2 linked regions of the Macaca mulatta genome follow. The protein of the gene in region 1 purifies or fractionates together with the protein of each later gene. This does not show direct contact. Links are inferred from orthologs where the notes say so. Each region holds a gene or a part of one and is shown in the gene's direction. Other genes may lie near its edges.

Region 1 (4,129 bases):
ATAAAGCGGTCTGGGTAGAGTTATAGAATTAGAGTTGTGACCATATATACGATAATTAAAGCCAAGTGAGTGAAAAAGATTATTTGGGGGAGGGAGTATATGTATCCTAGCCCTGAGAATGTCTGACTTTCAGAGGTCAGATAGCAGAAGAGTGGCCTACAAAGGTCACTGAGGAGAGGGCAAAGGAGTAGGAGGAAAAGCAAGAGTATAATGTCATAGATGCCATAGAACATTTCAAGGAGGAGGAAATGGTTAACAGTGTTAAATGTAGGGGAGAAGTCAAGCAAAATAAGGACCAAAAATACCTTACTTATTTGTGGATTTATCGACACTGAGGGTCATTGGTTTTTTATCTCATTGAGAAGTTTCAGTGGGGGAAGGAAGCCAGACTGCTGAGAGCTGAGAAATGAATGAGACGTAAGGGAATAAAAATTGCAATTTCACCTGTAAAGTATGTTTTCAATACATTTGCCCATAAAGAGGACCTGAAGAGGGACCTCCTGTGTAGGGAGGATATTGTTTTAAGATGGTAGATACTTGAGCATGTTTAATTGCTGATGTGAAATGAGGGGGAGAGGGATGGGAAAGAGAGGGAGGGGAATCTGCAATTACTGGGGAGGTATAAACATTTTAAAGTCTATTGATATATACTGCTCACATGCTTTCTAAAAGGGTTTTTAACCAACATATGCTCCTATCAGCAATTATGAGAGCTTGTTTGGTGGCTACTTTGTCATCATTAAGTGTTATTTAAAAAATAAAAAACAAAACTCTTTGCCAAATAATCTCATTATTGTTCTAATTTGCTTTTCTTTGATTACTAGTGAGTTGAATATTTTAACCAGTTGTGTTCTTGAGTGTGTATGTGTGAATTTAGTCTACTCCTTTGCCCAAAACGTTTCTATTTTAGACAGACAATTTGCCATAAAAGGCCATAAGTTAAAGGATCAGAATGGTATCATATTTTACTTACCCAAATTAGATAGTTCATATTCTTTTATCTCCTTAGAAGTGTGAGACAATTTGACAACTTTTGACTCAGCAGAATGAAAGGGGCAGGTGATTTCACCATCTAAGGGAACGACCAACAGATGGAAGTAAGGGGGTGGGGAGGCACGTCTAGTGTTAGACCCCTATCCTCGGTCCCTAGGCTCCCACTCCTAACCTGGAAGGACATTCATTCCTCTTGTGTCTCAAGGCTTTGGGTCCCAGAGCTCCCTTTCGGGCTGAGCGGCCCCCTACTAAGGAGCCCGGGGCGCTGTGCGGCCCCTTTAAGAGTCCAGCTCCTCCCAGCTCCAGGGAAAGTTGCAGCTTTTTCCGCCTCCCGGGAGGGTGAGAAGGGCCGGCCGCCGGAGCTGGGTGGCGATCTTCCCGGAGCCAGAGACCCTCCCTCGAAACCGGCACTGGGACGTCTAGCTCTCTGGAGGCACCTGTTGCAGGTGACAGGTAGGTCAGCAGCCAGCGGCCGCCCCCTCGCCCTCGGTTGGGGGCTCCTTCTGGACCCCCAGCTCCTTTTCGCTGCTGAAGCGCCCCCACCCCCATATCGGGGTCGTGCGTCTTCCCTACCTGCTCTCTGCTCCCCTAGTTTTTCCTTCTCCCTAGCTGACCTCGTCTTCCCTCTCCCCGTCCGCCTCTCCCGACCGCACCCCCCAGGCTTGGACTCCCGTCTGCTTGGGCGGTCCCTCCCGGCCACTTTTCTTTCTCTAGGGCTTCTTCTGGCCCCTTCCCTGACCCACCTAGCACTAATGCGGGCTGTGCCCCTCTGGGAGCCGCCTCCCCTCTCCTCTCCGGCTCCCCTCGCGCGGAGTGCCCGGGCTTTTCCCGCCAGCCCGAGCTGGTGCCCCTCCCGAGAGCTGGCCCTGGGGGCGGGGGCGGGGCCGAGCTCCTAGCGGGAACTGCGCCCTCCAAGGCGTGCAGTCACCTTTTCGTGGGTTTCTCTCGCAGCGCTTGGCCGTCGAGCGGGGTCGCTAACCCGCACTCTCTTCGGACCTCCGACATCTCGGCGTCGGCTTCTCTGGCGTTGGCCAGTCAGCCACAGGTAAAGGCTGGAGGCTGGTCGGCCGGAGTCCTGCCTCAGTGGGCTCCCTCTGCGCTTGGGGCTGGGGACCTGGCTACGTGCTGTGGAGCTGTTTATCTTGCCGCTCTTCAAGCAGGCTGTGAGAGACCTGGTACTGGAGGAGGGTCCCCGAGATCTCAGAAGGGGCACAGAATGCTTCTGTCTCCTGTGATGGTTTGTAATGGGGCAGAAAAAGGTGTTCCTCCAACCCTTAACATTGAGATGGGATTTGGGGTGGTGAAATCATTTGGTTAGAATTCTGGTGGCTTGAAAAGTGGTGAGTTTCTAATTAACCAAGCTTTTCTTCCCCCAGTACCCTTCTTCTTCAGGACTAGAGGACGTAAAATTCCAGAGTACTGCTCTTGGCAGGGTTGACCCTAGACCTTGTATATTTGTGGCAAAAAATGAGTCTTCTGTACATCCTGGACCTCCTATATTTAACTGGCTTCTTTTCTGCTCTTTAAGCTCCCCACCCCCACCTCTCATAAATCTATTAATATTGCGGTATTAATGACTTAAGACTTTTGTCGCTGTGGGAACAATGCTCAATGCAGAGATGTGGCCTTGATGAAGTTTTCCGCATTTTTGGTGGTTTGGTTTTTAGCACCCTAGTAGAAAAGCACACCAACTTGGCTTGTGAGGCTCTGTCTGGGCAGGGGATGAACATTTCTGCTAACACGATTTCAGGTGTCTCACTCTTGGTCAGAGCAGTGAAATGGAGCTCGGAGGCCTGTTCTGGGGTAACTGATCTGTGAGTATATGTAGCATTCCGGCTCTCTGAGCTTGTTAGGCTCTGGTTGTTAGGCTCCATTGAGCCAGACACTGTGATAAGTTCTTTACATAAAAATGCAATCCTCCCAGTAACTCTATACAATAGGTGCTACAGTTATAACCATATTATGATGAAAAAGAGACTTAGAGGGTAAGTGCCTTGCCCTCACAATCTCGGAGGCAGAGCTTGTGTTCCTATCCTGTCACACCACCTCTATTGTCTTGGATGTTGGGAGCACTGAATAGCTCATGAATGAGGACTAAGTGATTAAAAAATTTCCTTCCAAGTATATGTTTTGCTCCTTGATTCCCCCTTAGATTCACTGCCGAGACTATGGACTACTTACCTTACTGATGTCTTACCCACTTCATTTCTGACATGGGCCAGTTGCCACATTACCACTATAAGTACACATCCCTGAGTGTACCTAGATGAGTGAAATCTCCCGGGTTCTCAGCTCTGTGGTAATTGTCTTGAAGTTAGAGGAGGGTAACCCTGGATTCCAGGGATGTGCGCCTGACTCAATTTCTTCCTCTCCTGCTGGCTAGGGGAGAAATAAGTGATAGGGATTTCCTGACAGCCATACCAGAGAGCTTGAGGGTGATCGTGTGCTAGTTTTGTCATGGGATGGATGGAGTACCACAGGCAGGGATAGGAAGAAAATGTCCTCCCTATTCCCAGCTCTGGGACCTTGCTCAAACTGTTCCTTTTTTTCTTCCTAAAAAGCTAACTTTCCTCCCCCATGCCCATTCCCCTGACATTAATTCCTATCCATCCCTCAAGATTGAGTTCTAAAGTCACCTTCTTTGGAACGGCCTTACTGAACACATACTTCTTCCCCCAAGCAGAATTGCCAGTTATCCTGTGTCCTAAAGCACTTTGTTTACACCTCAGTACAGCCCTTAACACTGCTTAGTTGTTTTTCCACCTGGAAGGCTGTAAGTTCTCTAAGGGCAAGGTCTGGATCTTGGAGCTCCCTTTGTCTTAAATATAAGATATTGGCAAATATTTGTGCCAGTAACCGGATGTACCATGCCATTCCTTCAAGGTGCTGAGGTGTAGTGATGGTGGGGTTGAGAGTACAGAAGACACCTTCCTGAGGCGCTTGAAATACCACGGCTACAAGTTTGCCCTGATCACCCTATTTAAACGTGTAATCCCTTCTCTGAACGTTCCATATGCCCTTTCCCTACCTTATTACATTTTTCTCGCTTATTGTCTGCCCTGCCACTCCCTCACCCACCATAACATAAACACCCTGTGGGCAGGGATTGCTGTCTGTTGTATTCACCGGTAGACTT
Region 2 (2,681 bases), on another chromosome or scaffold:
GGGCACATGGGGGAAAAGCATGGTGGGGAGGATGGAGGGCCAAGCTTCAGGGTCTTTCTCCCTCGGACAAGGACACGGGTTCCACACCAGCCCGTCAGGGTGGAGCTGGGATCCTCCAAGCAATAACCTGTCCCCCTCTGGCTGCATCCTATAGGTCCACCCAGATCAAGACCTACTCGTGGGACAATGCCCAGGTGCTGCTGGTAGGAAACAAGTGTGACATGGAGGATGAGCGGGTGGTGTCATCAGAACGTGGCCGGCAGCTAGCTGACCACCTTGGTGAGTGCCCAGCTGGGCCAGAGACCCACAAGGCTAGAAAAAGGACACTAAGAAAGGGGAGGGCTCACACCCAAGGTCTTACAGCTAAGCCAGGTAATTCACACTTTCTGCAAACTAGCCTTCATCCAGGAGCCATTTGTGTCGGATCTTGAGGGATGTGTAGGAGTTCACCATGCAGAAAGTTTAAGGATTGATTCTGACACTCATTGTCCAACGCTTTGTTGGGTGTTGCTGGGCTCGAGAGGCATCTAGGGAGGCCTCAAGGGACCCCTGAGGTGGAGGGAGGGACCTGGATGAGAGGAGCCCATGAGAGGAGCCAGGCTTCCTGGAGTGGTGGGCAGTGGACTCTAGAGCTTGGAAGAAGGTCTTTCAGGCAGAGGAAGTAGCTTGGGCAAAGGCTTGTGGTGAGAAAGATCCTGTGTGTTTTGGTGATAATTTCACAAGACTGAAACATGAGGGTCAGCTGGAGGAAATGTAGCCGATCAGAGAGGGCCTCAACCATATGCTGAGAGGCTGGGACTCTTTGGAGGGCAATAGGGAGCCACAGAGGGTGTGTGAGCAGGGGGAGGTCACGGCTGGATTTGAGTGTCTGAGGCTTCCAGGGCCAGTCTATGGTGCTGGGCTGGATGCTGCAGGGCATGTCTTGCCAGGTCCTAAGGACAACGAGACACAGTTTTCGGAAGGAAGGGCAGGAGGCCAGGTGCACTGGCTCACGCCTATAATCCCAGCACTTTGAGAGGTGGAGGTGGAGGATTACTTGAGCCCAGGAGGTCGAAACTGCAGTGAGCTATGATCACGCCACCCTACTCCATCCTGGGCAACACAGCAAGGCCCTGTCTCAAAAAAAAAAAAAAAAAAAAAAAAAAAAAAGCAGGAAATGCAGAGCTGACCCAGTTCAACGTTGCTTCTCTGTGGGATTTGTCAGTACCTTCAATAACCTACTTGGCACTGGGAATCTCCAGTGTTTCCTTTCCTCAGAGAAGCATCTCTGGGAGTTGGCATAGGGCGTGGCCAGGGTCCTCATCTCTGCCTTCCCTGACCACAGGGTTCGAGTTCTTTGAGGCCAGCGCCAAGGACAACATCAACGTCAAGCAGACCTTTGAGCGCCTGGTGGACGTCATCTGCGAGAAGATGTCCGAGTCATTGGACACGGCAGACCCTGCGGTCACAGGCGCCAAGCAGGGCCCACAGCTCAGTGACCAGCAGGTGCCACCTCACCAGGACTGCGCCTGCTGAGAGCCACCCCAACCCCTTTCCCCTCTTTCCCGTCTTCCCCACCTTCCCCCAACTACCTGGGCCTGACCTGGCCCCTACCAGCCATGGGCACAAGACCCCTACTCCTGACTTAGCCCATCACCCTTATTTATTATTGTAGCTATTTATTTATTTATCGAAGATGTCCCCCAGGGGCCCGGGCTCCCCTGCCCACCCCAAGCCCTGCCCATCCTGTACATATAGCCCTTTCCCCACTCAGCCGTGGTGTCTCGTGGCCCTGTGAACTCACCACTCACCCTCCTGAACCCCCTCGCCTTTTTTTTAAATTCACCCCCAACCACAGTTGTCAGTTGTGAAGAGGGGGCCAGATGACACCCTAGAGCAGGCTGATCAGGCAATGGGAGGTGGCCAGGCCTGCCAGTCCCTCGGCTCTGCCGCGGTGGGCCAAGGCCGCTGTTGGGGGTTTCCCTGTGCGGACCATGGGGGTCAGAGGCTGGCCTGCCGGGCTCCTCTCCCCCAGTTTTCTCTTTTGGTGGGGGGCTGTGCTGTGGGTATTCACCACCCTGGGACCCCTCCCCCTACCCACCAGACCTGTTCTGACCTCATGAGTGTCAAACGTGCCCCCCAGTTCCTTAGGAGATGTCAAGACAACACTACACACACCCAATAAAGCGAATGGACCACGTGTGTTCCTGTGAGCACCGGGCCCTGCCCACCCTGGTTTTGACCATCCACAGCATTTTCTTTTGTTATTTTTATTTTTCAATATAAATAGAGACAGGGTCTTGCTATGTTGCCCAGGCTGGCCTCGAACACCTGGCCTCAAGCAATCCTTCCACCTCAGCCTCTCGAAGGGCTGAGATTACAGGTGTGAGCCACTGCGCCCAGCCAGCAGTTTCAGTTACATTACAGAGATAATTTAATGGCATTTCCATAGTTCACGACCAGGGAAGGAAACACAGAGGCTGCCCGGCCCTGCCTGAAACTTTTGGGGGCCGACTCCAGGCCTGAGCCTGCTCTGAGGGGATCGGCCACATCCCCGCCTTAGTCCCAGGACCTGAGGGAGCTCTGGATCGGTGGCTTGGCCCAGAGCCAGGTGGACGGCAGTGTTGAGGGGTTGGGGCTTGGGACTGGTTGGCAGGGTGAGCCCCGTGCTGAGTCCCAAGTGGGACATCTTGGTCACAGGT

What was found.
Region 2: the proteins of SYTL4 (region 1) and RAB3A purify together in Homo sapiens (affinity purification with mass spectrometry; 3 studies listed by BioGRID and IntAct, counting the BioPlex papers as one, with this or other methods). This does not show direct contact. The link is inferred for Macaca mulatta from reciprocal best matches to the Homo sapiens genes SYTL4 and RAB3A.

What each region holds. Positions count from the first base shown.
Region 1 is NC_133426.1:107,583,290-107,587,418, reverse strand, and holds the start of SYTL4 (synaptotagmin-like protein 4), read left to right. Parts: upstream 1-1,329; 5' UTR 1,330-1,446; intron 1,447-1,944; exon of another isoform or gene 1,945-2,038; intron 2,039-4,129. UniProt on the Homo sapiens protein: Modulates exocytosis of dense-core granules and secretion of hormones in the pancreas and the pituitary. Interacts with vesicles containing negatively charged phospholipids in a Ca(2+)-independent manner.
Region 2 is NC_133424.1:18,717,821-18,720,501, reverse strand, and holds the end of RAB3A (ras-related protein Rab-3A), read left to right. Parts: intron 1-154; coding exon 155-279; intron 280-1,324; coding exon 1,325-1,515; 3' UTR 1,516-2,181; downstream 2,182-2,681. UniProt on the Homo sapiens protein: The small GTPases Rab are key regulators of intracellular membrane trafficking, from the formation of transport vesicles to their fusion with membranes.